Linked DNA regions of Notamacropus eugenii. Each later gene encodes a partner of the first gene's protein in a complex. Links are inferred from orthologs where the notes say so. Each region holds a gene or a part of one and is shown in the gene's direction. Other genes may lie near its edges.

Region 1 (7,867 bases):
GCATTCCTGACAATTTTATCACAGGGCCATGCCATTCTTTTCTATTCATCCTGTACTACCTGTCTTTGCTTTCATCTCCTGAAATGTCTTTTACAAATCTAAGATTGTTCATAAGTTCTTTGTGTAACCACATTGATATTTTTTGACAGCTTTTCCTTTCCATCCTCATCAGATCTGTTTCTCTTTATTCTCTCAGAATGCCATTCTTGAGAACTTCACATCCATCCTGGAAGTATGAAAGTACAGGACATGTTGGAAACACAGAGAATTGCCTCATTTGTCTGGAATGTAGAGTTTGTGGAGGGGAGTGATATCAGGCAAGAAAAGAAAAGTAGAGGGTTGTCAGATTGTGGATGATCTCGGATGTCATGCTAATGAAATTTAATAAGTTTGATATATGGATGAATGACCTGTGCTAAAAGGAATCAGAACTCAGATACATGCAATTATCAATCTTAGTTCCAGAAGAATAATGATCAAACATACCTCTCTTTTGCAGAGAGACAGTAGAATATGGTGCAGAATACTGAAAGATATTTGCCAATGTGTTTCTGGGTTTTGCCTTGTTGTAATTCTTTGTTATTACGAATAGTTTAAGGGAAGGTGATTAGACAGCAATGCAAAAAAAAAAAGCATCAGTAAAACAAAAAGTAAAAAAAATAAAGGGTCTGGGAAAATGTGATTGTATACAATGAGCTGCCCAATTCAAAGATACTGAAATATTTTCATCGAATCATGATTTCATCCATGGGGACACTCTTTTTTTAGCAATAAGATTCAAGGAAATGTTTACAATCTTGTCAGGGAGGAGGATGGGATGGGATGGGATGATATGACCACAAATAAGCTGAAGTACCAGGTAGGGGGCTGGTAGCATGGCATAATGCTGGACTGGGGTTCAGAAAGACCTAGGTTGAAATCCCACCTCTAACACTTACAGATTTGGGCTTATAATGGAGAAGTCACTTATTCTCTCTGAACCTCAGGCACCTCTCTAAGACTTAGCTAATAAATAATCATTCAACAATAACAACAATAATTGTGCAGGCGTGTGCTAAGTGCTTCATAATTATTCTCTCATTTGGTCCTCAGAACAATCCTGGAAAGTAGGTGCTATTATTATCCCCACTTTACTGTTGAGGAAACTGAGGCAAACAGAGGTTAAGTGACTTGCCTAAGGTTACAAAGCTAGTAAGTGTCGGAGGTTGGATTTGAACTCGTCTTCCTGACTCCAAGCCCAGTGCTCTTTCCATTGCATCGCCTAACTAGAGTCTAGCGGTCTGGTTGCCCCTCTCCATTGATCATTCTTTATGTTCGAGCTGACAAAATTTCCAGTTTACTTTTCTCTTATTTCCTATGATTTACAGTCAGCATCTGCTGAAGCAAAGCTCCTCTCATTCCATCCTTTCTCTCTTTCTCCTCTCATTCATTTCCCACTTAGCTCTATCCTTCCACAGTCCACATCCTCTTCCACCCTTCTGTTCCATAGCAAACTTTAGAATCCTGGCTCTACTCATAGATCACCTTCATTTAGCTAGAAGAGATCCTACAAACTTTCTAATCCAAGCTCCTTATTTCACAGATGGGAAAATTAAGACCTAGGGAGGTTGTTTGGGGCCCAAGGTCACATAGGCAGTGAGATGGGATCCATAGTCAGATCCTGTGACTTCCACAGTATTGTATGTTATTAACAAATTCCCCTCATCCTGGATTTGTTCACTTTCTTCCTAACCACCCGCCTCCCAGTTAATTAGTCTCCTAAATTCTCCTATTTTTCACTTTCATTCCATTGCATTCATATATAGGGATAGTCTTGTGCTTGATCTGATGGTCACCCATGACGGTTCCACCTCTGTGATCCAGAACTCTGAAATTCCTGTCTCTAACCCCTTCTTTTCCTTCAATCTCTTTCCCTGCCCCACCCCTCATAAAACTATTCTTTGCTTTCCTCATGTCCTTCAGTCTCACCATCCTATTCCTACCCAGCCTCACTTCTCTATCTTCAGTATAGATCCCCCAGTTGACCATTTCAGGCAGTTATTCTTGGATTCCTTACCCTCTTATCACTAGGTATGCCTTGAAAAGTGTCAACTTTGGATCACCCCCACCATCTAGCTTCTCTTCTACTCATGTGCTTCTGTATATTCCTGAAAAAAAAAAAAAAACACATACAACCAACCTGATTGGGTTCACTACAAATGCAGGATAAGTAATCTCAACTGTTCCATTACTGTGGCCTCACAATCATTTTATTATTCCCTGACTGATCACTTTCTCTATACCAGTTGTTCCACACAGCTTCCTTCCACCTCCCATACCTCCTCTCATCTCTTTCTTAGCAGGTTTCACCTCCTATTTTACTAGAAAAAAAATGGAGCCCATCCTTTTTTCCTCTGCTTCTTCCAAAGTGCTTGGCACATATAGGGACTTAATAAATCATTGCTGGTTGATTGATACATCCTTGATACACCATTTTCTACGTTCTGGTCTTTGATGCCAAAGCCAACTTCTCCATTTGTGTTTCTAATCCTATTCCTTCTAATTGCCTACTAGGCAGCAAAGTGGATAAAGGACTGTGCCTGGAGTCAGGAAGACCTGAATTAAAATCTAACCTCTGACACTAGCTGTGTGACCCTGGGTAAATCACTTAACCTCTGCTTGAGTTTCCTCAACTGCAAAAGAGGGGGCATAATAAAAGCACCTACCTTGTGAAGATCAAATGAGATAACATTTGTAAAATGCTTAGCATAGTGGGTGATATGGAATTACTTGTTTCTTTTCTTTCCCTATGATACCTTGCCTTCCCATTCATTCCTTCTCATCCCTTCATTTTAATTTGTCCATATCCATCGGCTCCTTTTCTTTTCCACACAAAAGTACCAAGGCTGGAACATTCTTTTTTTTTTTTTTTTTGAGGCAACTGGGTTTAAGTGACTTGCCCAGGGTCACACAGCTAGTAAGTGTCTGAGGGTGGATTTGAACTCAGTTCCTTCTGACTTCAGGGCCTGTGCTCTATCCATCTTGCCACCTAGCTGCCCTGATCTCCCACATTCTTAAAATTTTTTTACTTGACCATGTCATCCTTCAACAATCTCCATCGGTCAAACACCACGTATTTATTAAGCACCTGAGTCCATATTGGTCTGATCAGCTCTAGTTGGACAGATTGAAGCTTGACTTAGCATAGTGATGTCCTTTTGGGTACTTTCAGCAACCAAGGACAGCAACCAACCAACCAATATGGCACTATGCTAGGTGCTGGAGACACAAATACAAAGAATAAAAAGCCATAAGCTTACATTACAATGAGGTAATTACTTATTACTGTATGAAATACAATTATGTTCTTCCTTAAGTCACATGTAACATTTACAGTTTTATGTAATCTGGATCCCATCTAAACATGCTAGTGGTTTCATATCCTTCCTCTTTTTGCACTATTTCCATCAAGCTGACTGGTTAGCTATCTCTTGTAGTAGACCTTGCACCTCCCACCTGCCCTGCCTTTATACAGATGGTTTCCTCTATCAGGAATGCTCTACCTCTTCAATCTGCCTTTTAGAATTCCCAGCTTCTGTACAAAGCACAGCTTAGGTATCCATTCCTACGACCTCACAGCCTTCTTGAAGTCACTTTCTAAAATTTTATGCAGACTTTATAGAGCTGCTATATCCATCTCCTGCAACAGAATGTAAACTATTTAAGAGTGGGAACTGGTTTTTTTTTTTGGTCTTGGTTTCTCCGTTGCCTAGAACAGTGCCCTGTGTACAACTGAACAGAACTCCCCAGTTGTCAACGCCCTACTATGCCACCCAATCACAATTAGTTTGCATATTTTGTATGCACTTATCTGTCTATATATTGTACTTTCCAATATGATGCAAATTTTTCGAGGCCTGTGAGGCCTGTAACTGTTCCTTTCTGGGTTTTGAGTCCCCAGACGCCAGCCTAGCACATAGTAGGTTGTTCTAAAGAGCAAAGGAGCTGCTGTGGTAGTGTATTAACCTCTGCCTCAGTTTTCTCAGCTGTAAAAGGAGTGTAATAGCATTTGTCTCCCAAGGTTGCTGTGAGAATATTGAGATAATATTTGTAAAAGTTTTTAGCACAGTAGCTGCCACAGAAATGCTTAGGTCCCTCCCACCCCCTGCTCTTCACCTGCTAATCCAGAGAATCATCCCCTTGATTGATAAGGGCCTAAGAATGCTTGCTGAACCAACGAATGAACTGAATGAATGAAAGTACAGAGGAGGAAAGGATGGCAGAGTATATGAAATTACGGTAAATAAGGGCAACAGTGGATAGAGTGGCGGGCCCAGAGTGAGGGAGATCAGTTCAAATCCAGCCTCAGACACTTACAAGCTGTGTGACCCTGGGCAAGTCACTTAACCCAGTTTGCCTCAGTTTCCTCTCCTGTTAAATGAGCTGGAGAAGGAAATCCAGTATCTTTGCCAAGAAAACTCCACATGGGGGGAGAATCAGTCATGACTGAAACGAGTGAATAACGACAACAAAAATAAATGTAAAATAAGCGGGGTTATTGTATCTGCAGCTCTTTAAGGCTAAGGAGCTGTTCTTGCAGGTGTCTGTTAATTTCTGGCTCTGTAAGACTACAAATCCCAGAATTCCGTGCCCCACTTGGTTCTTCTCTCGTTTAAGTGGAAAGAGGCCTGAATACCCACCATTCTTCGCCAAACTACAAATCCCATCACACCCATGGGTTCCGGAAACTTTTCATTTCTGACGAGTTGCCATAGCATCCGGATCCGTGGCCAATTATCCGGGCCCCTGCAAGGAGCTGAGGCGGGTCTTTGGCCCCGCGGACCAATAGAACATCTATTCGCTACTGAGCATGACCGGAAGGATCCTGAGGGGAGAGCCCGGCGCTGTCTCCTTGCCGCTGTCCCTGGGGTGGCCCGTGTCTCACCCGCGGAGAAGGAGCAAGGGCAAGGGGGACCCGGGGCGGCCTCTGCTCCCGGCGGTGGGGGTGCGTGCGTACTGGACGGGAATCGGGGCCGCTCGGCTGCTGCAGGGCCACAGTGCGAGCCGGAGCCATGGGCGGGACGTCCAGCACCCGGCGGGTCACCTTCGAGACGGACGAGAACGAGAACATCACGGTGGTGAAGGGCATCCGGGTGAGTGAGGGGGCGGCGGGGTCGGGTTCCCGGGCCTGTGTCTCTGGAGCGAGGCCCGAGACCAGCCCACGTCAGAGTGGCCGAGGATCCCCGGAAGGGGCTGCGGACTTCAAGAGTTTGGTCTGGAAGGATCTTTAGATCCCAAGTCACCGCACTTAACAGATAAGGAAACTGAGGCTCAGCGAGGGGAAATGGCTGGTCGGAGACCCCTCCTGCCTCTCACTTCTCCTGGGCCTGGCGGAGCAGCCAGAGCCCTGCGTGCCCTCTCCGAGAGGCTCCCAGCCCGGGACCTTGACTGCCAGGCTGGGCCTCTGCAGGCTTCCCGCCCTGCCCCAGCTCCTCCGGGTCACCAGGGTCCCTGGCACCACGTGCCTCCCTTCCCCGCGCCACTTTGTGCCCGTGTCTTTGCGGGTTGGAGGGGTCTGGTTTTTCCTACCTCCTTATAGTCAGAGAACTCTGGAGCTGGAAAGGACCCTGGAGATCCTCCCATCCTGTCGGGCCAGCTCTCTCGTGTTGCTTCCTTTTACTTTCCTTTCTGTCTTATTTAGAGGAGAAAACCGGTCCTTCTTTAGAGAAGTGACTTGTCTAAGCTCCACAGGTGGCAGATCTGCTCGGATTCCTATTCCCCTGCCCTTTTTCTCACCTGGCACCAGCTCGTTCAACCTCTCCCCTCCCTCCCTCCCTCACCTTTTTATAATCACTCTAAGAAGCCCAGGGAGTTAGTTGGTGTGTAATGAGCAAGTGTCTGTTAGTGTAGCGTAAGACTGAATCAGCTTGTTGTGGAAGCATGTTCTTGGTTATAGCTGATCTCACATTTCTTACCTCAGTAGGTGGGGAAGGGGAAGAAGGGAGAAAATTTAGAACTCATAATTTTACAAAAAGGATGTTAAAAATAAACGAAACATTAAATTTGTGTAAAAAATATTGAATCAGCTTCAGATAAATGTTAGAATGGGATTTGTATTATTCCTGTATGAAGGTAAATGGTGTACCAGTCCCTTAGGGTGGGTATAGTCTTGTTAACTTCACCCATTATCCATCACACTTGTTTTTGGAAGTAGGATGTCTAAAACTAACAAATGAAATTATGTTTAAAGAATGTTGTAATAATAGCTATACATGTAAACACACCCTTATTTGTTCTGTTGTTGCAGAACCAGCCAGATTTATTAAAGTGTTATCTTTTAATAAATGATTACCAGAAAATAAGTTATATAAGTAGTTGGATAATTATAAGCTTTATTCTTTGAATGTGTTGCCATACTAAGTGAACCAGAACTATGAAATCGTAGATTGTGAGAGAAGGAAGCGACCTCAGCAGCCATTTAGTTGAAATTATACACAGCTTTATACACACAATCCCACTATAACATCTGATATACTGGTCATCCAACTGGTTTGAAGATTCCCAAGGAGAGGAACCCTGCCACATCTCTAGGGAGGTCATTCCTCTTTTGGATGTTTTAGGAATGTCCAGTTAGGAAGTTTTTATAGTTAATAAGCCTAAATTTATTTCTTTGCAGATTCCACCTATTGCTCCTGGTTTGGTCCTCCAGGTTCAAATAGAAGGTATCTAATTCCTTCTTTACACAACAGCCCTTTAAATACTTAAAGACAGCTATCACATACCTCTCTTCTCTAGGCTAAATGTGACTGGTCCTTCAGTTAATCCTTATATGCCATGGACTCAAGTCTCTTCACCATCCTGGTTCCCCTCCCTTAGACACCACAGTTTATCAATATCTTGTTTAAATATTGTGCTTGCAAAATGAACACAGTACTCCAGATGGTGTTTAATGAGAGCAGAATATAGTGAAACTAACATCTCCTTATATTTGGAAGCTAGGTCCCAGGAGCCTATTAGCTTTTTTGGTTGACACACCACAGCTCACTCTTATTGAACTTTCAGTTCACTAAGACCTCCAGATTATTTTTAGAATAACAGCTCTCTGTTCATGCCTGTTTAGTTCAACTTTTTTAAAAAAATTAATTTATTTAACTTTTAACATTCATTTTCACAAAATTTTGGGTTCCAAATTTTCTCCCCATTTGTCCCCTCCCCCCACCCCAGAACACCAAGCATTCTAATTCCCCTATCACTAATCTGCCCTCTCATCTATCATCTCTCTCTGCCCTTGTCTCCATCTTGTCTTTTGTCCTGTAGGGCCAGGTAACTTTCTATACCCCATTGCCTGTATTTCTTATTTCCTAGTTGTATGCAAGAACAATACTCAACAGTTGTTCCTAAAACTTTTGAGTTCCAACTTCTCTTCATCCCTCTCTCCCCACCCATTCCCTTTGGAAGGCAAGCAATTGAATATAGGCCATATCTGTGTAGTTTTGCAAATGACTTGTGTTCTGTGAGACTAACTATATTTTCCTCCATCCTGTCCTGCCCCACATTGCTTCTATTCTCTCTTTGGATCCTGTCCCTCCCCAAGTGTTGACTTCAGATTGCTCCCTTCTCCCATTGCCCTCCCTTCCATCATCCCCCCCACCCTGCTTAACCCCTTCTCCCCCACTTTCCTGTATTGTAAGATAGGTTTTCATACCAAAATGAGTGTGCATTTTATTCCTTCCTTTAGTCGAATGTGATGAGAGTAAACTTCATGTTTTTCTTTCACCTCCCCTCTTTTTCCCTCCACTGAAAAGTCTTTTGCTTGCCTCTTTTATGAGAGATAATTTGTCCCATACCATTTCTCCCTTTCTCCTCCCAATATATTTCTCTCTCACCC
Region 2 (7,489 bases), on another chromosome or scaffold:
AACAACTTTTAACATTCATTACCAAGGCTTTGAGTTCCATATTCTCTCCCTTCCTCCCCACCCACCCCCATTGGGAAAACAAGCAATTCAATATAGGTCATACATGTGTAGCAATGCAAAGCACTTCCATAACAGTCATGTTGTAAAAGATTAACCACATTTCCCTCTGTCCTCAATCTATTCCATTCTCTCCTCTGACCTGACCTCCTACAATAGTACTTGCTTCTGATTATCCCCTTCCCCAATTTGCTGTCCCTTCTATTATCTTCCCTCTCCTATCCCCTTTGCCCTTGTCTTTCTGCAGGGTAAAATAGATTTCCATATCCAGTTGAATGTGTGTTATTCCTCCTTAAGCCAAATCCCATGAGAGCAAGGCTCACTTATTTCCTTTCATCTCCCCCTCTTCCCCTCCATTGTAAAAGTTCCTTCTTCCCTTTTCCATGTGAGATGATTCACTGCATTCTACCTCTTCCTTTCTCCTACTCCCAGTACATTCCATTCAACAGTAAATTTTATTTTTTTATGTATTCTTCCTTCACATTAAGCTCAACCCGTGCCCTCTGTCTAGATATACATACACATATATACACACATACATACATACACCCATGTACATACGTACATACACCCATACATACACCCATATACATATATAATATACACATCCATACATACCCATACACACCTACATACATATATTCCCTCTAACTACCCTAATACAGAGAAAGGTCTCATGAGTTACAAATAACATCTTTCCATGTAGGAATGTAAACACTTCAACTTTAAGGAGTTCCTTAAGGCTTCTCTTTCCTGTTTACCTTTTCATGTTTCTTTTGATTCTTGTATTGGAAAATCAAATTTTCTATTCAGCTCTGGTCTTTTCAACAAGAATGCTTGGAAGTCTCCCATTTCATTGAAATTCCATTTTTTCTCCTGAAGTATTATACTCAGTTTTGCTAGGTAGGTGATTCTTGGTTTTAATCTTATCTCTTTTGATCTCTGGAATATCATATTCCAAGCCCTTCAATCCCTTAGTGTAGAAGCTGCTAAATCTTGTGTTATCCTGATTGTATTTCTACAGTACTTGAATTGTTTCTTTCTGGCAGCTTATAATATTTTCTCCTTGACCTGGGAACTCTGGAATTTGGCTCCAATATTCCTTGGAGTTTTCCTTTTGAGATGTCTTTCAGGAGCTGATTGGTGAATTCTTTCCATTTCTATTTTACCCTCTGGTTCTAGAATATTGGGACAGTTTTCCTTGATAATTTCTTGGAAGATGATGCCTCAGCTCTTTTTTTGATCATGATTTTCAGGTAGACCAATAATTTTTCAATTATCTCTTCTGGATCTGTTTTCCAGGTCAGTTGTTTTTCCAGTGAGATATTTTACATTGTCTTCTATTTTTTCATTCTTCTGGTTTTGCTTTATAATTTCTTGGTTTCTCATAAAGTCATTACCTTCCATCTGCTGCATTCTAATTTTTAAAGAACTATTTTCTTCAGTGAGCTTTTGAACCTCCTTTTCCATTTGGCCAGTTCTGCTTTTTAAATCATTCTTCTCCTCACTGGCTTTTAGGACCTCTTTTTGCCCTTTGGGTTAGTCTATTTTTAAAGGTGTTATTTTCTTCAGTATTTTTTTTGGGTCTCCTTTACCAAGATGTTGACTCACTCTTCACGATTTTCTTGCATCACTATCATTTCTCTTCACAATTTTTCCTCCACCTCTCTTACTTGATTTTCAAAATTCTTTTTGAGCTCTTTCATGGCCTGAGATCATTGCATATTTTGGTGGGAGATTTTGAATATAGACACCTTGACTTTTATGTCTTCCTCTGATGGTATGCGTTGTTCTTCCTCATCCAAAAGGATGGAAGAAAATACCTTTTCACCAAGAAAGTAATCTTCTATAGTCTTATTTTTTTCCCTTTTTTGGGCTTTTTCCCAGCAGGTACTTCACTTTTGAGTCCTTTGTCAAGTGGAGGGTATATTCTAAGGACCTGTATGTTCTCAGTTCCTCCAAGGTAGCACAATCAAGGGAGAGAAGTTTACTCCTATCCTGGCATGCACTCTGGTCTGTGAGCAACCACAAGCACTCTTTTCTGCCCTGGAACTGTGAGTAGCATTTTCTCTCCACAGCCACCACCAGCTCCACCTCATTAGTACTCTACCTCACCCCAGGACCGCCACTCAGGGCTGAGATTCAGATCAGCTGCTCGATTCCTTCAGGATCTTTAGGTCTAGGGTTCCAAAAGTGGATGCTGTTGTTGCCCTGGGGCTGGGGCTGGAGCAGGACCATGTTCCCCTCTCACCCAGGTGAAAGAGCTTCCTTACTGACCTTTGAACCTGTCTTTGGCATTTGTAGGTTAAGAAATCTGGGAACCTCAACTGCTACCCATGATTCTGCTCCCTGAAGCTTTTTCCAGTCCTATCCAGGCTCTGCTGCATGCCCCAGGCTGGGCTGCGCTCTGCTCCACCCAGTGCAATAGACCTTTCCTGAAGGCTTTCCAGGCTATCTTGGGCTGGAAATCTGTTTCACTCTGTCATTTTGTGGCTTCTGCTGCTCTAGAATTCATTTAGAGTAATTTTTTACAGATATTTTATGGGCTATGAGGGGAGAGCTAAAGGAGGTATATCCTTCTACTCTGCTATCTTGACTCCACCCCCCTTTCCTAGCAGTTTTTGTCAAATAATGAATTTTTGTTTCAAAAGTTTGGATCTTTGGGTTTATCATATATTAGATTACTATGGTCAGTTATTATAATGTAATTTCTATCTAATTTATTCCACTGATTCATACCAGATTGTTTTGATAATTATTGCTTTGCAATACATTTTGAGATCTGGTACAGCTAGACTTTTTTTTACAAAAAAATATTTTATTTTATTGATATTATTTTATTGATTCCCTTGATATTTTTGAGCTTATGCTTTCCCAGATGAATTTTATTATTTTTTTCTAGTTCTATGAAATAATTTTTGATAGTTTGATTGCCATGGCGCTGAATAAATAAATTTATTTAGAATTGTCATTTTTTTATATTAGCTCAGCCTACTCATGAGCAATTAATATTTTTCCAATTGTTTAGATCTGACTTTATGTGTGTGAAAAGTGTTTTATAGTTGTGTTCATATAATTCCTGGGTTTATCCTGGCAGGTAGACACCCAAGTATTTTATATTGTCCACAGCTATTTTAAATGGAATTTCTCTTTCTATCTCTTGATGCTGAACTTTGTGTGTAATATAATAGAAATGCTGATGATTTATGTGGATTTATTTTGTATCCTGCAACTTTGCTTAAGGTTGTTAATAATTTCAAATAGTTTATTTAGTTGATTTTCTATGCATGCCATCATATCATCTGCAAAGAGGGATAGTTTTGTTTCCTCATTGCCTATTCTAATTCCTTCAGTTCCTTTTTCTTTTCTTATTGCTATAGTTAGCATTTCTATCTAGTATGATAATCATTTAATATCACTTTTGGACCTCAGAGAATACTTCTTCTATGTCAACAAGGTCAGATGGAGTTGACTTAAGAGCATTCTTTCCTCTTTTTAAGGATGAGACCCTCAATCTGAGACACTATCTTGAATAATGAGACTTCTCCTGTATCCTAATATTTTGTGGACATATACTGCTTATGGCATCTTAATGGTAGAGAAAACACAGATATCCAGGATCATAATTGCAAATGAAACTTTGTCAGCTCTCTTATCTGATGGTATTTACCACCTATTCAATTCAGAAAATTCCTTTCTCATAACATGGTTAAACTTATATGGAGGTCATAAATTTGAGTCACACAGACATGCTGAGTTGGGATTGCTCTAAAACTTCTTTCAGCCTGGTCATTCTTGTACGGGACAGTCAGAACTCCAGCTCTGGCTCCTTGTTGGCACAGGTGAAGCTAGCTTCAGCTAGGTTTAAGGGAATAAACAATGTGGACCGACATACCACCTGCCTCTTTGCCCTCCTTCAACCAAACTTTCAGGTTGACAAATGTTAAATAACAGAGGTGACAATGGGCATCTTTGCTTCACCCCCATAGTATTGGGAAGGCTTCATCCCTGTTTTCTGGAGGAGGAAAGTGTCTGACTGAACTAGGTTAAAGTCACGCGGCTAGCCAACATCTGAGGCAGTGTCGCCGCCGTGGCCCCCCGCAGCTCTGCAGCGCACACTAGGACTACTCCACCGGGACCTTCCTTTAGCAGCAGAAGCCCAAGCAGAAGGGAAGAAAAGGCCAGAAAGACTACAACTCCCAGACGCCCTAGCGGGGCTCCCTGTGTCGAGGACTACAGCTCCCAGAGGCCGCAGTCGGGCCCGCCCCCCGGCTCCCAGGGGCCTGAGCTCGCGCGCTCTCGTCCCGGGCCCGCCCCGGGCGCAGCGGGGACCTGGTCGCTGGCGGGCGGAGCTCTGTGTCCTTGCGTGGCCGCAGAGCAGCGAAGCTCGGCGACCATGGCTGTCCGCCTGTGGCCCGTGTTCGGGTGAGCGCGCGCGCCCGTTTCTCGAGTCACGCGGGGCGGGGGAGAGGGAGGGGGTACCCCACCTCCATCGCCCAGGAGCTGGGCCGGAGCCTGGACGCAGGGCCGGGCAGGGCCGGGCCGGGAGGACCGTTGTAGGCCTAGTGACAGCCGGGGCTGGGGGCGGGAGGAAGGGCGAGACCCCGGAGAAGTGGGTCCTTCCCCCGAGCCTCGTCGCCCTGGTGCGGAGGCCAGCGTGGGCCTGTGCCCCGGGCACGTCGCCGTGTTCGCCAGTCAGCTGTAGCATGGGGGTGCTGGGAGCCCCGGCCGCGGTCGGGGCTGGGTGCGAGACGGCATCGCCCGCCTGAAAGCCCTGCCGCGGGACCCGGGGGGCCTCGTGCCCGCTGGGCTGGAGTCCGGTCCGGGGCTGGAGAAGCGCCAGTCAGCGCTTAGGTGTTGATCGTAAAAAGAAAGACGACCCGAGACGGCTAAATGAGCTTGCGTAAAGTGCTCTGCGGTCCGTAAAGCTCTGGAAGTGACGACCCGGACCGGACGCTCCCCTCGTCTTCCCCCTTCCCCCCAGATTCCGGGTCTCTGCCCCGCAGGGAGCCGCAATGGGCACTGCCGGAATTAGACTCCAGCCCCTCTGGGGGAGGGCAGGAGCCGCTTGTCCTCCGCGAGCCTGAAGGGAGAGGACGGCCATGGGGGTGAGGGGCGGGCAGAGAAGAAACCCAAAGTGATGCCGCCCCTGCCAGGCCCGGGCGGAAAGGAGCTGGAAGGTCTGACCAGCCCCCTGGTTTGCTTGGTTTTCACATGGGGAAACTGAGGCCTGGCGTTAGGACCCGGCCCCTGGGCCACAGGAGGAATCTGCGGTAAACTGATACAGGGATCTAGGTTAGAGTCTCGGTGTTGTGAGCATCCCACCAAGCGTTTCTTCTCTCGCCATTCCCCCAGGTTTTTCATTAAGGCCGGCTTGGCCGGTGGGTCCGTGTACTTCGTTTACGATCAGGGGCTGCTGGGGTCCAGTCACCAGGGTCAGGCTGCCCTGCGGAGGGCGCAGCAGGCCATCCCAGGCGCCTTCACCCATTACTCTGACTTACTTTCGAAGCACATGGGATTCCGGTTGGAGGTACCACGAGGGGTGGGGGGGAAGGTTAGGGGTGGAGATTGGTCCAGAACTTCATGGGCAGAAGGCAGAGGAGATGAGCTTTTAGGAAAAGGGAAAGTGTCTGCCCTTCCTGGGACAAAGTAATAACATTTCTGGTCAGTGGGATGGGGTGGGGGGGCAGGGTGAGGACAGGCTGGTCTGAACTACCTGGGCACTCTCACCTGACCTTCATGAAGCCCTTGGTGATTGAAGGCATTCATTTTGTGACTCCAGCTCTGACTGGGCCAGGTTTCGGGCTCATTTTGGTTATCTGATGAAGTCCTGGATCCAGGCTCAGAGCAAGCCTCTGACTTTGAGCCCTGTTTTGTTGCATCCTGTAGGCCCCCCACTGTCCTCCCCAGCAGAGCAGGGAGGTGGGCATCTGATGTTGGAGCAGGTGATTGATGCTCCTTTTCCTCTTTTTTCAGCTCCCACCCACTCCATATTTCAACATTAACCTTCGAGACTACTGGAACTCAGGTAGGACCATGGGCTCTATTACGCAGAGTCTGCAGCAGTAGCCCTTCTGCTGAGGAGGAATGCTGCTGTCCAGACACTTCCCTGCTCTCTGGACCACCAGGCCTAGCCCCCCACCTTTGGCCTCTTCCCCATCCCTCCACCCCAGGAGCTCCCTGCATTGGCAGGATCAGAGGGCAGAGGGACAGATGACTAGCCATGGGACTAACCCTGAGGGGTGGGCTCCTCACACAGAGTAGGGGGCATTTGAGCCACTCTCCAAACACCCACACTTGTAGCATGTCAGAGCCAGAAGGAACCTCAGAGATCATTTAGTCCAGTGCCACCTCATTTTATAGATTGGGAACATGAGGCCCAGAAGGGGAAGGGACTTACTCAAAATTCCCTTGTATGTCACTGGCAAATGCTTGCTGTTTGGCTGGTTGACTCAACAGAGTCCTGACCGTTAACCTGGAATTCTGTATTCTGTAGAATGGGCCTCAGTGAGGAAAGTCGTTGTGACTATTTATTAAGTGTCGGTTGTGGAGTCAAACACGGGCCAAGTGACAAGCATTTATTAAGTGTCTACTATATGTTGGGCATTGGGGATACAGAGACAAGATGAAGCAGTCCTTGCTCTGAAAAGAAGTTTATGTTCTGTCAGGGGAAACAGCACCCATAAGACATACGTATACAAAGCATACAAAGTTAGTGGACGATCACTGGGGGAGAGGGAGAAGGAATTAGGAAAGGCCTCTGGAGCTGGCTCTTGAGCTGAGCTTGGAAGGGAGCCAGGGACCCAAAGAGGTGGAGGGGAAAGGGCTGGCAGCTCAGGGGTCAAGGACAGCTTAAGCAAAGGCACAGAGGTGAGAGATGGGATTCTGGGTTTGAGGAATAGCAAGAAGGTGAGTTTGGCTGGAATGCTGAGTGTGTGAAGGCGGCTTATGGATAGTAAGCCTGAAAAGAGGCGTTGGAAGCTGATTGTGAAGGCTTCACATGCCACACGGAGATTACACCTTATTTTAGAGGCTGAAGGGAACTAAAGGAAATAGAAGCTCTTATCTGATGCCCTCGGGGCCTAACTAATTGACACCAGGTTGGTGGGAAGGGGGAAGGAAGAGATCTGAATTACAGAAAGTTTTGAAAAAAATCTGGCTGCTAGGAAAATCAGTTGAAGGAACTGGGCACAGCTAGCCTGGAAAAAAGAAAATTTGGGGAGGGAAAACAACAATCTTTAAGTATTTGACAGGCCATTGTGGGTAAATGGGGACTAAACCTCTCAACCCTAGAGAGCAGCCCCAGAAGGAATGAATGGCAGTTGCAAAGGCCAATTTTGGCTCAGCATAAAGAAAAACGTGATAACACTAGCAGCTGGTTCAGAGTAAGACAGGCAGCCTCCAGGAGTAATGAATTCCCTTCCCATCACTG
Region 3 (7,568 bases), on another chromosome or scaffold:
TTTTCTCTGGGCAAAATACAAAAGGATCACTAAATAACAAATATTGATGATTACAGGAGACAAGATCCCTCCCTTCTAGAAAAAATTCCCTTTCCATCTCCACTACAAACTGAAATGTTATGGAAAAAAATACAGAAATATTTTGTCAATTGCCACAAAAGACAGTAAGAATTTTAGTGCCAAATATCACATAATAAAAAGTGTATGCATTGCCTAATTTTCATTTCCCTTCTACTTTCTCATGAAGATTAAACTTTTAAGTAGTTCTCATAGGAATCTGAAGGGTTTTTTCCCCATTTAAAAAATTTGATAAGACATTTTTCATCTAAAATATTACATATAGTTTAAATTCTCTAGGAAAATTAATAGTCACATGCTACCAATTTCTTAGTCTGAACCTCCTGTAATAACTATTTCATTAATTCAGCCAGTATTTCTAGTCTAAGACTCAAATCCTCTTTATTTATACCTATATTGGAATAAAAAATATTTCAATAGAATATTAACTTTTCATACTAGCATCCAAAGTAAAAGTTAATGTTACAATAAGCTATATTTGAAATTTTAATGGCTGATATTATGGATTCATCAACTAACTCATTAATAGCAAAGTAAATTTGTCTATAATAAAGACATTGACTATATTTCATCATTTCCCAGAAACTTTCATAGCTTTTATTAATATGAGTCCAAGTAGGAATAAATAAGCCTGAATTTGTAGAATTCTCAGACTAAGAATGACAATGAATGGTTTGCACTTATAAGAATATTATTGAATACTATGCAATTTGTGTTGATGCCAGTATATATGCAGTAAGGGAAATTTATAGTATGTGAGCAGGAAGAATCATTGAGGAACTATTATTGATTTAGAAATGCCCATAAAGTTACCTAATTTTATTGTAGACTTTTCTCACAAATGTCATCTTTTTAGTTTACCTACTCACACCTAAGGTCAAACAAATTTTTTGTGAGTGTGTGTGTGTGTGTGTGTGTTGTAACTGTATTCAGTATATTTCAAATAATTGGACATTTCCATGTTTTGATTCTTTGGATTAATTTATCACCAGTGACTAGAAAACAAATCTTTCTTACCCAAATTTCAATCCTAGTCACTGCTCCAAGGAACTCAGTGAAAGCTGCTATGCTGTATAGGCTTAGCATTCATTAAGGATTCCTTATTAAGAAGCCCAAGCATTTCAACTGATTTGAGGGGGGCGGGGGGGGAGAGAGAGAGAGAGAGAGAGAGAGAGAGAGAGAGAGAGAGAGAGAGAGAGAGAGAGAGAGAGAGAGAGAGAACATGCAGTGGTATTAAGAAACATTTTACTTTTGACGATGATGCTGTATTTGAAAGAGAAGTCCTGTTATCATGCCTAGTTTATTAAATAAGTGACATGCTCAGATTGGGAACCTGCTTAGAAATAATGTTTGTGTGTAAAAATGTATGGCACCTGTGTGGTATGGTTTACACTTTACATACATAAAGTATGATGTGGACTACAATAATATTGTTTATTCAGGGGTTAGAAACCACACTTGAGAATGGATTTCAACCTGTAGAGTCAATTCAATCTTAGAAAGCTCCAAGAGTACATTATGGGAAACCTGCTAACTTAAGAAGGTCTTTATGGCCTCTTCCAAATGAACACCATTATCACTATTTCTGTAGCAATACAAACCACACTTGTCTCTCATCAGGACTGTTTCTAACAACAGGTAAATCTGCTATTACGATTACACACTGCTACTATTACTATTCTTACCACTACTGATCTGTCTGTGGCACCTAGGATCATGGAGACTTCATGATTTGTAGACATTTTTGTTTAAGGATTATTATATATATGTAATATGTATATGCATAAATACATATACATCAGGGGTTCTTAACCTTTTATGTGTCGTGGACCCCTTTATAAATCTGGTGAAACCTATGGACCTAGTCTCAGAATCATGCTTTTAAATGAACTAAATATATGATTACAAAAGAAACCAATTATATTGAAATGCAGTCATCAAAACATTTCAAAAAAAAAGTTCACAGAGCCCAGGTGAAGAACCCCTGATGTACATATACATATATAGTAGAACTGATTTTTGTGTAATATCATTTTGATTCATTGACTGTTTTTCTTTTGAGTCATTGTCCATTTTAACTGCACAATATGTGGCTTTTAAAGTAGTTTTATTAACAAAAACTTCGCGGGGAAAAAAACAACAGAGTTTGAATTCTCAGTTTTCAAACTTACTTTGTCTGTTTTCACACTACAGATATTTCAAACCGATCTCCTTTCATTATCTCATCAGCTATGAATGAAAAAAGAAGACAGCAAATCATCTGATTTTGCTAACTGAGAGACTTGGCTTGTATTATCTTTTCAACATGGCTAATACAACATTTCATAAAGTTTCGGATTTCTTTAACCAACAGAAATTTTAACTTTTGTAGCTAGGATGTATACATTTTTTAATTCTTCTCTTGATCCATTTCATCAATATGAGCATTTCCTTCCACCCGTACAAATTGTAACCCATCCATGCCTTCTCTTCCTGTGGCATTCTAGTCCTTTCATAAATCCTTCATCCTGGATCTATCCAATTCATTGGAAGCCTTCCTGTAGTGCTTCTGACATTTCATTGGTCCAAATGCAGCGCTCGAACTGTCCATCTGTTATTCCACTTTCACCACATGACCAGTTTGCATCCTCTTCGGATCATACACTTTCTTGATGATGTCTTTATACATTTCATAAAGTTTCCATCTCTCTATGATCTCAAGGTATATTTCTTCTCAACACACCATCACAATTCCATACTCCAGACAGTAAGAAACAGAATCCTAGAAGGTGTAGATGCTACAGAGATAGGAAAATGTTATCGCTTTGGTTTTAGGAAAAAGTAAATTTCAACCCCTGGATAAAACTTTAAAGTATTCTTGATTTTGTATTTGTACTGTATTGACAGTTATTCACTAAGATTATATAGGCTTTAAATGTTGGTGATTTTCCCTTTTTGCTCTTCAAATGAGTTCTGTGTTGTAACTGGCTGTATTGTTTTCTATCACAGATTAAAGTGTTAACTTTCGTGTGTGATAAAATTTCGTGACTCGGTATCGTCACTGTGTGTTCTGCTCATTGGGTATGTACCTCTGGGCGCACCGCTCACAGCCCCGTAGTTGCGCCGCTGCCGCCGCTGCCGCCGCCCTCGCCCTAATATTAAGAAAACAACAAAAAAATAGAGCACCTGGTTCTTTTTTCTCCAAAAGCAAAGTGTCCCCAAAATGAAGCTTGCGTGCTTTTGAAGGAAACGTTCCACCTCCATAAATTCAAGAAATCTTTTGTTTTAGGGGGTTAATTGTAAGTTTCCATTGTAATCGGTTTTCCAAAAATCAGAAACCAATCCAAACTGTAACCCCAAGTACGTGGCTAGGTAGTTTGAGTACCTCCCAGGGCCCCTCATTTTAAGTTATCTGTCAACGTTACGTTCCTTTTCACCGCACACCTAATAATAACTCCCTTTGTTGTTTGTTTTATTTAGCACTTCAAGGTTTGAAAAGTGCTGTCCTCACATCACTTCCGTGGGGTAGGCAGTGCAGTTCTTACTATCAATGTTTTTTGGACGAGGAGACTAAAGCCCTGACAACGTAAGTGATTTGGTCTTGGTAACACAGCTAGTAAGGATCAGAAGTGGAATTTGGACCCAGCTGTCCAGGCACTAAATACAGCCGTCTCTAATAACCCCAGAATTTGGATCCCTTTCCCTTTTACTTTCCCCCAAGTTTAACAGAATGGACTAATTGCCTTGGTTTGGTTTATTGACGGGACCATTCCGCCTAACAACAAGTCTGCCCTCAGGCATAATAGTGTGGAATGCCACAACCTTTTCTTTAGCAGCTCTAACAAGCCTTTTATGCGTTCTCTTTCCTACAAAGGCCGAGCAAATTCGGGCCTACAAATCCCATCCTATCCCATGCCACCTGCATTTCTTAAGCCAGCGGACAAACGCCAGGTGCTTATTGTTAGGGCCTTAAGGAGTTAAGGACTGCTCAGGAGCATAGATGGAGAAGAACCATTAGGAGCAAAAAAAGAAGGCCCAGCTAGGGTGGGAGTCCCACCCCATCTGAGTGGGAGGGCGGCCGGCTCCGCTAGGTCCGCCCCTCCCCGGGCCCCGCCCCACCCCAGGCCCCGCCCCGCCAGAAGCCCCACCGGCGCAGGCCAGGGACCAACTTTAACATTATCAGCGCCGATGGGAACCAGCTGCCTAGGGCTCATTTAGCGCCCTCCTGGCACCGAAGCTCAAGGCTGGCTCCCAGAAGCGGGCAAACAATAAGGGCACCCACTCCTTGAGCCCAACGAGGGAAGCCCCATTGCCAGGCTGCCTTCTCTAGGACCGAGAAGGTGGCATGGAGGGAAATGGAGAGCACTCTCAGGCTTCCTCTTCCTTTCCTGACTCCGGGACTGGAGCTGAATGGTTAACCACGTGGGCTCTGAGCAGCCCAGCGCGGGATGGGGGAGGAAAAGGGCAGGGCGGAAGTGGGGAGGCTGGGGGGAAGGGGACCAGAGGGCGGGGCCTAGCCCAGAGAGTAGCCGGCGTGTCCCTCTCGGCTCCCCGTACAGGAAGCCCGGGCTGGAGAGGAGGGAGTCACCCGGACATGGCGGCTGCGGGGGTGAGTCTTGTCCCGTTCTGCTCCTTTTGGCTTTGTTGGCGGGGCCCAGAGACCCCGCCGGGGCGTGGTCCGAGAGCCAAGGCCCCAGGGCGGGCGAGGCCCTCGAGGCGAGGCGTGTGGAGCTTGAATGGCGGGCCTCCGAGGGTGGGGGTGGGGTGGGGAGCCGCTCCCTGGCCTTGACCTCTCCCCATTCTCCTTGTCCTCCGAGGGAACCACCTCACCCTGGAGTCGGCGTCGCTCCCAGTTTCCCCGTGCATCCCTCACTTCCCACTTCCCCACAGCTGAACTATCCCAGGCAATGGAGGCTGGGAGGAGAGAGTGGACACCAGACTGTCGCCTTGCGGAGCTTGGCTTTGGGGGAGGAGCGAAAGGGAGACCATTGGGACCATGAGTCAGCCTATCCCCGCCGCGCTTTTGGGAGGGGGTTACCTCGCACCCGGCGACTACGATTTGGGTGGGGTTTATTTCGGGGAAGACAGCCTGCAGGGAGACTTCGCCGTTCGTCCATTAGCACAGTTGAGATTTTTCTGGAGAACCTTGTGGCTGGGAAGCCATTTGCTTCCGTGAACTGCTCCCTAATCCTGGGAGCTTACACTGAGCTCATGTTATCCCCCATTTTAGAGATAAGGAAAATGGAGGTAGAGATTGGGCCTTGCGCAAGGTCGCAGTGACAGATAGTAAGTGACCCAAGCAGGGTTTCACACGGATCATCTCCTTCTACTCGCTCACACCGCCTTCTTGCTGTGGACCTAGCCTAAGTTTACAGCAGGAGGGCTCGCCATACACTATTTTGACAACTGCGTACGTAGGCCCTCTTTCGGGGTCCATATCATGGGGAATCAGCTTCTTCACCAGAACACACCTGTTATAGTATTATCAGGATCATCTTTATATATAAACTGCCTGCCCAAGTCATTGGGCAGTTTCCCTCAAAGCAAAAACCTGGACTGGTTTGGGGACAAATAAAGTCTGGTAAGTTTTGGTAACACTTAAGAGGCACCCTTCTTACTGTCTCTCCCTTGTTTTTCCCCCCTTCTCCTTTCTCCATAAACAGTCAAATTCATAATTCAAGACTGTTCTCTTTTTTAAAAATTTTATGTCTGAAATATGATTGTTAGTTGAAACCCAGACAAATTAAATCCAGATATTGAATGCTCTTGTACTTCAGTACATCTGAATTTAGGGTTACTTTTCCTGTTTGACAAGGTTTTTCACAGCACTGTTAACCATCCATATTTCTAGTGTAATCAGTCATAAAAACATGAGCGATAACGTCTAGATGGCCAAATCTTGTAAACATTCCTGAATGTTCTTTTACTCCGTAAAGTAATGATCTGAATATTTCATCAAAATTTTTACTCTGGCCTCTGCAAGGCAGTCTTTGTAGACCAAACTATTGTTAGGCGTATTTGTGGATGTGGCTAAATATTGGTAAATTAAATCTGAGGTTTAAAAATTGTTTTGTCAAAGATTCAACTGCTCCTCAAAATGATGTCTGTCTTATTTGTACTTGTATATGGTGGTCCTTTACAGCGATATGTTAAAGCTTACATGAATTTGTTGCATTTCAGAATCATGAAAGTGTTTTCTGTTAGTGAAAATTTTAAACAACCAATGTGATTATTGACTGGGGGGGGTGTTTCTAGTGTTGCTGTGAAAAAGATACTTTATTAAAGTATTGTCATTTAAATTGGGATTTGACTCTTAATGCTTAAAATCCTTATGACAAGTTGTACTCCGTGGCAAATAATAAAAGTTTGCTGATGAACTTTGAGCTTGCAAAAACTAAAAGGCTTAACCTATTGCTTTGATCTCTTGGTCTTAGAGCTGAACAAAGTGTGCTGAAATTAGTCATTTTTTTCTATAGCACTTAAAAGGTTCAGAAAGTAAAAAAAAAAAAACAGAAACCTGTGAGGTAGGGTAGGACAAGTATTGGTATCCCCATGTTACAAACGTTATGAAGTGATTTGCCCAGGCTCACAGTTGGGATAAGAAGCCAGAGTTTCTGTCTTCAAGTCACTTTTTCATGCTTGGTACATATGTTGGCTCCTTCTCTCATCCTTCCCCAGAGTATAGGTGGGATCTTATCATTTTGGTAGATCTCATAGTCAGGCCCCTCTTTCCCTTCCTGACTCTCAGCAGTTTGATTTATGACTGACTGGGAGGCAGGGTACAGAAAATACAGTTTTCAAAAGAAAATTAGTTGGATAATCTTAAAAAAGCAACACTAGAGGCACGTCTTAAATGCTTTCTGATGACAGTGGGATTGAAAGAAGGTGGCAGCAAGCTGCATTCCTCCCTAACACTTTTTCACCAAACCCCCTGAATAAGGAGTAAAAGGCAATATACACAAACAGGCAATTGAGGCCAGTCTTAGCCTCCTTAATTCAATTTAGCAAGTGTTTTTTCAGGGGCAAATAGTAAACATTTTATTAAGCACCTTAGGTCTCCAAGGAAGGCGTTGTCCTAGATGCTTTGGGTACAAAGATAAATAAGACAGGTCCTGCCTGGAGGGTTTAGTCTAGCAGAGGTAAGAGGTGTTCTGCATTCCAAAGAAAGAAGGCAGTGAAACACAGAACAATTCTATATTTACACATCTGGAAAACGTGCAAGTAGGGTGATAAAGAAACTAACTTCCAGAATGTTAGAGAACAGTGGGGAAAGATTTTAAACCTCCTCTTTCCAGTGTTCCTAGGGTGGAGGAGGTCAAAGTCTCAGTATGTGGGTTACATCTGACTCTCAAGTTGATAGTAACTCGGTCTACCTCCAAGACACGCCCACCCAGTGTTCCATGAATATTTTAATATAAATTATACTGAAACATACAGACGCAAGATAGGGACAAAATTCTCTCAGTTGAGAGGATGCAGAGATCATTTTTTGTGAGGAGATTAAGGCTTCA
Region 4 (7,516 bases), on another chromosome or scaffold:
ATTCTATGGTTTTTGCTCTACCTATTCTTTTGGATGGGGTTATTTAGTTTGCAACTGATTTTTAATCTATGCTTCAAAGGACACTTAAAGAATACAATTTTTATTGCATTCTGGTCAGAAAATGGTATATGGAATATTTCTGCTTTTCTGCTTTTGTTTGTTTCCAATTTTCCCCCTTGAATTCTCATTTCATTAAAAAAAAAAATTTAAACTCTTGCATCGCATCTTCCAAGAATTCTAGCTGAATACTTGTGCCCAAGCTGTTATTTTTATTGGAGGCTTTGCTTGCAGAAGTTTTGGAGACATTTTCTTCTTTTGGGTTTGGGTCTTGAGTGTCCCTGCTGCCAGAAGTTTTTTGGTGACGTTCTTTTTTTTTTTTTTTTCACTTGTTTACTATTTTAGCCTAATTTCTGACTCCAGACTTTGTTGGTTTTAGGCTCACTTCTGGATAGGAAGGAAAGTTTGCTTTGGTGCTGCTGCTATTTTTTGGGGGGGGAGGGACTGAATGTCGTGTTATTCCAGTCTCTCAGGGAGAGATCAGCCTGGAAAGCTCAAGATTTCAGTTTTCTTTTTTCTTTCAGTGCTCTCAGAGTCTGACCACTGGTCCCTTGGTCTAAGCTCTGCAAGTTCTTTACCTAGGTTTACATCTGAGCTGTAACATTAAACTGCACACCAAAGTGTCAAAGGAATGGCTCTTATCTCTCACCCCAAATAAACAATCCATTGCCCTATCTTATCCTTTCTGCCATCATAATGCTTCTTTTATATATCATATCCCATTCTTTCTCCTCACATAGCCATCTCCCTGGCTCAGGCTCTCATTACCTCTTGCCCAGTCTATTGCAAAAGCCATCTAGCTGATCTCCCCGCCTAAAGTCTTCTCCCACTCCAATCCATCCTCTCCTCAGCTGCCAAAGCAGTTCCTCTCAAAGCAGTTTTGACCATGTCCCTCCACTACTGTGTAGGCTCTAGCTACTCTCTGTCATCTCCAGGATCAAACATAAAGGCCTCTGTTATCATTTAGCATCTCCTTACACTCTTCCTCCCCGCGATCCAGACTTTGTGGTCCATCTGCCCTCCATCACCGTCTCAGTGCCTTTGCCCTGGCGGTCTGCACACGTGCTGGGCACTTTTCCCCCTCGTCACTGCCTCTTATTTCCCTGGCTTCCTTCAAGACTCAGTTTGAATCTCACCTCTGGCAAGAGGCCTTCATTGATTACATCCCTCCACTTAACTCACTCCAGTTACTGCCTCCCCTCTGAAATTACCTTTCATCTACTCCATATAAATCTTGTATATTCCCATCGTAAGCTATCTCCTCCATTACAATGTGAGTTTCTTGAGGGGAAGGACTAATATGGCATCCTTTGTGTCCTGGTTCTTGCCTCAATTGTAATAAACGTGACTGACAGACTATGTTATTTGTGTACGTCCTGATGTCATGAGTCATGTTCCCAGTATGTGATCAGGAAGTATACAATTTATTTTTTTAATCTCCCTTAGTACAGTGTCCTTTATGTAGAAGGTACCTGGTAAATATGTGAATCAAGCTGCATAATCTTACTGTGTATGAGAAAAATGCAAGGTATTATTTTAAGCCTCATGGATATGGACACAACAGCTGGAGTTCAAATTAGTTCAAAATTAATTAAAAAACAAATGTATGATCCATAAACAAGAGATCTTAAAACATCTTGGATAATGACACAAAGAAACTGGTACAAATGCCAAAATTTATACATATTCAACAATTGAGTACTTACGCTTTAAGGTCATCTAGTGGCAAAGCATCTGACAATTTTACTTCCTGAAATTCAGTTCCTAATTCTGCATCTTCTAAGTCTCCATCCAGCTCTGATGAACTTGAAGACATTTTTCACAATGAAGAAATCTGAAAGCAAAGAAAATTAACATAATTTCCATAATATTACATTGTTTGAAACCTAGTGAAGATAGCTTGTGTGAAATATTGATTATAATGCTAATTTCAAAACCCTTAAAATGTAAAGCAAAGATTTTTTTTAGGATGCTATTAAGTTTATAGAATTTCATATAATAGCAAACTGTGTTATTAATAAGATAACTGGATTAGGAAATAGAGGAACCAGATTCTATAATCCCTGCTTAATTTTTAACTAGCTGGGTGACCTTGGACAACTCATTTATGCTATCTGTTCTTTATTGGTAAAATGAAGGGCTTAGATTAATGAGGTTTAAGAGCCTTTCCAGCCCTGACATTCTATGACTAAGACATGGCATGGTGGAAAAAGCCTCATATTTAAGAGTCAAAAATTCTCGGTCTGTATTCCAGGAGGAAGCACTTCTAGTGGTATGATCAAGTTTGACCATATTTAATAGCTGTATGACTATGGAAAAGTCATTTAACTTCTTGGAGTCTCCGTTTACTTATCTGTCAAGAAAAAAAATACTTGCACAGCTGAGATTCAAATGCAAAGAGGTGATAACAGAAACCATGAGAGCGGAGGAGATCACCGTGTGAAGAGACCTAGAACCAGAGGTTACAGGTACAATCCAGCAAACTCTGAAAAACTTGCACCCTAAATATTAACGGATTAATATGAATTTCCATTTCTCGTTTTCACAGAATCATGGAACTTCAGCATCTGCACTTCAGAAGCTATCCAAACCTATACCTTCAGAAAATCCCAACAACATATCTGAAAATGCTCATCCTCCTGCCTTAGCCAGCTCTGGAAACAACTCATTGTACTTTAGGACACTTCTAAACACGGAGGCCTAGGAACTTATTTTTTTAAAAAAATATTTCTATGGCAAGATGACTGGTTTCTTTGGTTATCCTATGTATTTTAAAACATTCTGGGAAGGGTCCACAAGCTTGGCCAGACCGCCAAGACGGGGTCCAGGACAACAGGAAATGTTATGAACGCCTGCTTGGACTGGTTAATAGGTTTTTGTTACATTGTTATTACTAAGAAGAATAACTAGTATTTATAGAGAGCTTTAAGTTTGAGAAGCTTTTCACAAATACCTTGATTCTCACAACAACCCCGAAGGCAGGTGCTACTATAATCCCCAACTTAAGGTGAACAAACTCCAGCTGGGAGAGGCTGAGACTTGGCCGTGGTGACACAATTATTACCTGTTTGAGGCAGGATTTAAATTCAGGTATTCCTGGCTCCAAACCCAGCCCTCCCATTCATGGCACCACCTACATTATTATTCCCTTATATATATAGCCCAGCTCTGCCACTTTATTCCATGGGACTTTGGCCAAGTCAGCCCACTTAAGCGGGCCCTGGTTAGCCCACCTGTAAGACAAAGGGGCTGGCCCGGAGGACCTCCCAGACCCCCGCCAGCTAACTCGGACCTCTCTGGACCTTCTTTCCCTATGACAGCTTCCAGTTCTCCGGGAAGTAAAGTAAAACAAGCCAGCCCCTCCTTCCCACTGGACACCCCTAAGTCACCAGCCTCAGTTTCCTCGTTTGTAAAATAGGGATAAAGAAGCACCGAGCTCCGGGCCTTCCAGGACCCTCTGAGCCTGTGTCTGCCATAATGACAGTGAAGCTAAGAACGGCCACCATGTAACCTAGTGTTTGCTACAATGTGGCTGACAATTATCATCCGTTATCCAGACGAGCAAACTGGGCCAAACGGAGGTGAAGTGACTTGCTCAGGGTCACACGCAGCCCGGTGTCTGAGGCTGGATTCGAACCCGGCTCTTCCTTCCTTCCTCCCACCGGGCAGCTCCCGATCGGGGGGACATTTCCGGACCCCCCCAGGCTTTACCTCTCACTTCCTGGCCGCACTCGGAAGGGGCCTCCCACGGGCCCCTCTGCCTCGATCCTCACGGCCAGCCGCGACCGGAACCGGAGGGATCTCGCCTTGGCCGGATTGGGGGATTTTTTTCTTTTTCTCTTTTTTTTCTTTCCTTCTTTCCAAAGTCCGGTCCCCGGATCTGGAGACTCATGGGCAGCGCGGGGATGGATGAAGGCAGCCTCGAGCTTGCGCTTCGGGGAGGAGGGAAGCAAGGGCTCGGAGGTGGGAGATGACGGGCTCCAAGTTTTTATTTCATAATGAAAACAGGTCCAGGGGCATCAACAAAAAAAAGGCTCGGTGGTGGTAACTGACGACGATGGCGGGGGACAAAAGCGGCGGCGTTCGCGGGGTCAGCCCGAGGAGCAGCTTCTTCCACGTGTGTCCGTCAGCCTCCGCATCTGCCCCTCGTGCCGGGGCGCAGAGGGGACCAACGTTGACGGCAAGTGCCCCGGCCCTCCCGCAGCCCCCTCAAGCCTCTGCGGCCGGGCTGCCAGCAGCCTCGGCTACCGCGCGTGCGCGCGTTGTCCCCGCTGCCTAGCAATCCCGGGAGGCCCCTCCCCCTCGGTAGCTCTGACGACTCAGCTCCGGAAGGTGTCAATAAAGTTTGTACTACGGGTCGCCGGAGGTGTTCCGCGCACGCGTCGCTCTTCGGATAAGGCTGTCCTGACCGGGCCGCCGTAGAAAGCCTTTCCGCGGTGGGCGGGGCTAAACCGAGGTGACCCCCCCCAAGCCGGATCCGCCGCCGCAGCCAGCAACATGTTCAAGGTGAGCAGCTGTCGCTCCCTGCGCCCCCGCTGCGGGCTGCCGGGGCCCAGCTCCGGGTGCTGCCAGGGCCCGGGGCCCAGCGCCGGGGCCCAGCGCCGGGTGCTGCCAGGGCCGGCGGACCGCGCTCGAAGCGCCCAAGTCCCCTCCCCCCACGTGCGCACGCCTGACTCGTGGAGTGTCGAGAGCCGGCGCCTGGAGGAGGGCCAAGCGCTTTGCCCCTACTACTTCTTTTGGGCCTCGAAACAATCCGTCGAGGGAGGGGGCTCTGGTTAGGCTCCTGATAACCAGCCCCCGACCTGCCTTTGCAGCAACTCCTCACCCATCTCCCGGTTCCTCCTGCCTCTCCACCTGTGCCCTGGCCGTGCCCCCTGCCTGTCATGCCCTCCCTGCTCATCACAGCCCCTCCTTGGATTCCCTGGTTTCCTTTTAAGATACTGATCAAGTGTTCTCTTTCCTAGACCCTCCCTCCCTCCCTCCCTCCCTCCCTCCAATCAGGGTATTTACTCTAGCCGGCTTGGTGCTTGGAGCCTCCTGCCTGGAGCTCACAGCCAGCCTCCCACGCTGAATGGCTTGTTGACCCTGATCGATTGAACTTTAGTGTGGTGATAATCAATAGCACCCATCCCTCGGCGTGGTTGTGCTGATCATGCATGTGCGAACACTGCAGATCTTAAAAGTGCTAGAGAAATGCAAGCTGTTGCGGTTACATTAGTGCCTGGCTGTTACGGCTACTTTGTATACACCTGGATATTTACAAATTTCCCCTCCTTTGGAATTGTAAGCTCCTCAAGGTTGAGGTTAATTCGCTTTGTTATCCCCAGTGCTGGAACCAATTAGGCGTTCAGCAAGGGCTGATTGGATTTATAAAGTGAACAAACTGACACCGGGGTTGGAAAAGCTGGCCCTACTGACTGCAAGTTTAGCCCTTGGTTCTCTAGTCTGAGCAGGAGAGACACAGAGAAATGTGCGTGTGCGTGCACGTGTTTGTATACGTCTGCATATTTATTTATACGTGTATATCGTATACACGTGTACATGCATAGTGTATGTTTATGTAAAACTGTATGTGTATGTATGTAAAATACACCTGAAACTCACGTCTCCCTGAAGTGCCATCATGGTACTGAGTCACTGTCTGGAGTAAAAGCTTCTGAAATTGAAACGTTCATGGCTACTCCAAGGCCACAAGCGTTAATTAAGCACTAACCCTGAGTTATTTGTATGTACCTGTGCTAGGGAAGACAGAGACCACAGGAAAAACAGCCCGTCCTGAAAGGACTCTTATTCTTCTATGCTAAGCTATTATATACTAGGCATATATACCCTAGAGGTATTTCACCCCTTTGTGGGATCAGTTAAGCACTTATTTAATTTAGGTTCCCAAAGTGGGCAATGCTGCCCCTTGGGGGTGCTGGATCCATGGGGGAGAGGGACTGAATAAAAATAAGGGAGCCAGAGAAGCCGAAGGAAAGAAGAGAAGAAAAATTTGAAAATCCTTTCAATTTTCATCTCTTGTGTAATATAGTTAAAGTTGTAGTAATTATATTGTGTTCTAAATAAACACGTAAAATGCAAATTATAACCGATCAGTGATCAAGTCTTCAGACAGGTCTTAACAAGTAAGTGTTGGCAGTGAGGGAAGCCTGGAACGCATTGGCAGGAATATATGCAGGTAGTGACTTGTTTACAGTATGATAGTATACAGTTACATAATGCAATATTGTGTTATCAGAATTTCAATGCAGGAAAAAACCATAAGTTTACAATAAATTATTAAATTTATGATGCTTTTTTTAAAAAGAATTTATAGTTTTTCAAAATGATGTGGTTTTTTTTTTTAAAGAAAACCATTAAAGGGTTAAAGAAAGTAGATTTCTAGGGGGGTGCTGAGTAATTTTTTTTTTTAAAGGGAACAGTAAGGCAGATAAAGTTTGGGAACCTTTGGAATCTCGACACATCTCTCCAATAAACGATCCAGAGAAGTCAAACAGCCCCTCTTAAGGTGGTTACATTTTACCTGGCAGAACATACCTAAATAGGTATACACAAAGCAAAGCAAAATTGGGGAGAGGGAGGAGCAGAGTAGTAGAAGGTGAGGAGATTAGGAAAGACTTTGTGTAATAGGTATAGCTGAAGTTGGAAACAAGGGATCCTAAGAGGTGAGGTAGAAGTGTATTGGAGGTATGGTGGTAAAGCCAGCACAGAGATGGGAGAGTTTGGGAAGTGGAATAATGTATGATACGGTTAGAAAGATAGGTTGAGGCCAGGTTGTGAAGGTATTTAAAAGCTAAACATTAAATTATGTTTATTGGGGAGCCATTGAAGTTTTGAGTAGTGACATGGTTAGGCCGGTACTTGAGGAAAATTACATTGGCAACTCTGCATGGAGAATGGATTGGAAAATAGGAGAACTGATACAGGGAAACCGATTGGGACTCTTAAGTCTTCCAGGAGAGAAGCCATATGGGTGAACTAGTGTGAAGTGTGAGCTGTGTGAAGAGAGAGGATAAGAGTTGTGAGATATGGAGGAGAAGGGGCAAGACTTAGCCCCTCTGAGTCAAGGAGAAGGCCTAGGTTGGGAACCTAAATGACTGGAAGAATGGTGCTCTAGAAAAACGGGAAGTTGGGGAGGGTGATGCTTTCAGGGAAAGACTTCAAGTCCAATTTGGGGCATGCTGAATGTGAAATGTACAAAGATATTTGAGTTAAAATCCTGCTTCTCTGTATTGGGTCTGTGGACTGAGCTAGTCACTTTTAACCTCCCTGAGCCTATGGACAATGGATTCTGACTACTTACCTCATGAAAGTTGTTGTGAAAAGAATGGGGCATAAATTTATAGTTCCATATAAATTTGAATTGTAGTTCACATTGATAAAAACACTCAAAGGAGCCATAATATCATTGGGTGAACCCAGGTCACAGTGTAACTTTGGGAATCACTTAAAGGAAAAG

Evidence for each region.
Region 2: CHCHD3 (region 1) and MICOS13 share a complex: the UniProt entries of both Homo sapiens proteins name them as parts of the mitochondrial contact site and cristae organizing system (MICOS) complex. The link is inferred for Notamacropus eugenii from reciprocal best matches to the Homo sapiens genes CHCHD3 and MICOS13.
Region 3: CHCHD3 (region 1) and APOOL share a complex: the UniProt entries of both Homo sapiens proteins name them as parts of the mitochondrial contact site and cristae organizing system (MICOS) complex. The link is inferred for Notamacropus eugenii from reciprocal best matches to the Homo sapiens genes CHCHD3 and APOOL.
Region 4: CHCHD3 (region 1) and APOO share a complex: the UniProt entries of both Homo sapiens proteins name them as parts of the mitochondrial contact site and cristae organizing system (MICOS) complex. The link is inferred for Notamacropus eugenii from reciprocal best matches to the Homo sapiens genes CHCHD3 and APOO.

The regions. Positions count from the first base shown.
Region 1 is NC_092874.1:116,872,754-116,880,620, forward strand, and holds the start of CHCHD3 (MICOS complex subunit MIC19), read left to right. Parts: upstream 1-4,826; 5' UTR 4,827-5,051; coding exon 5,052-5,132; intron 5,133-7,867. UniProt on the Homo sapiens protein: Component of the MICOS complex, a large protein complex of the mitochondrial inner membrane that plays crucial roles in the maintenance of crista junctions, inner membrane architecture, and formation of contact sites to the outer membrane.
Region 2 is NC_092875.1:73,701,326-73,708,814, reverse strand, and holds the start of MICOS13 (MICOS complex subunit MIC13), read left to right. Parts: upstream 1-4,165; 5' UTR 4,166-4,453; coding exon 4,454-4,482; intron 4,483-5,412; coding exon 5,413-5,587; intron 5,588-6,033; coding exon 6,034-6,085; intron 6,086-7,489. UniProt on the Homo sapiens protein: Component of the MICOS complex, a large protein complex of the mitochondrial inner membrane that plays crucial roles in the maintenance of crista junctions, inner membrane architecture, and formation of contact sites to the outer membrane.
Region 3 is NC_092879.1:79,746,674-79,754,241, forward strand, and holds the start of APOOL (MICOS complex subunit MIC27), read left to right. Parts: upstream 1-4,549; 5' UTR 4,550-4,651; coding exon 4,652-4,666; intron 4,667-7,568. UniProt on the Homo sapiens protein: Component of the MICOS complex, a large protein complex of the mitochondrial inner membrane that plays crucial roles in the maintenance of crista junctions, inner membrane architecture, and formation of contact sites to the outer membrane.
Region 4 is NC_092876.1:453,112,207-453,119,722, forward strand, and holds the start of APOO (MICOS complex subunit MIC26), read left to right. Parts: upstream 1-4,489; 5' UTR 4,490-4,554; coding exon of another isoform or gene 4,555-4,563; intron 4,564-7,516. UniProt on the Homo sapiens protein: Component of the MICOS complex, a large protein complex of the mitochondrial inner membrane that plays crucial roles in the maintenance of crista junctions, inner membrane architecture, and formation of contact sites to the outer membrane.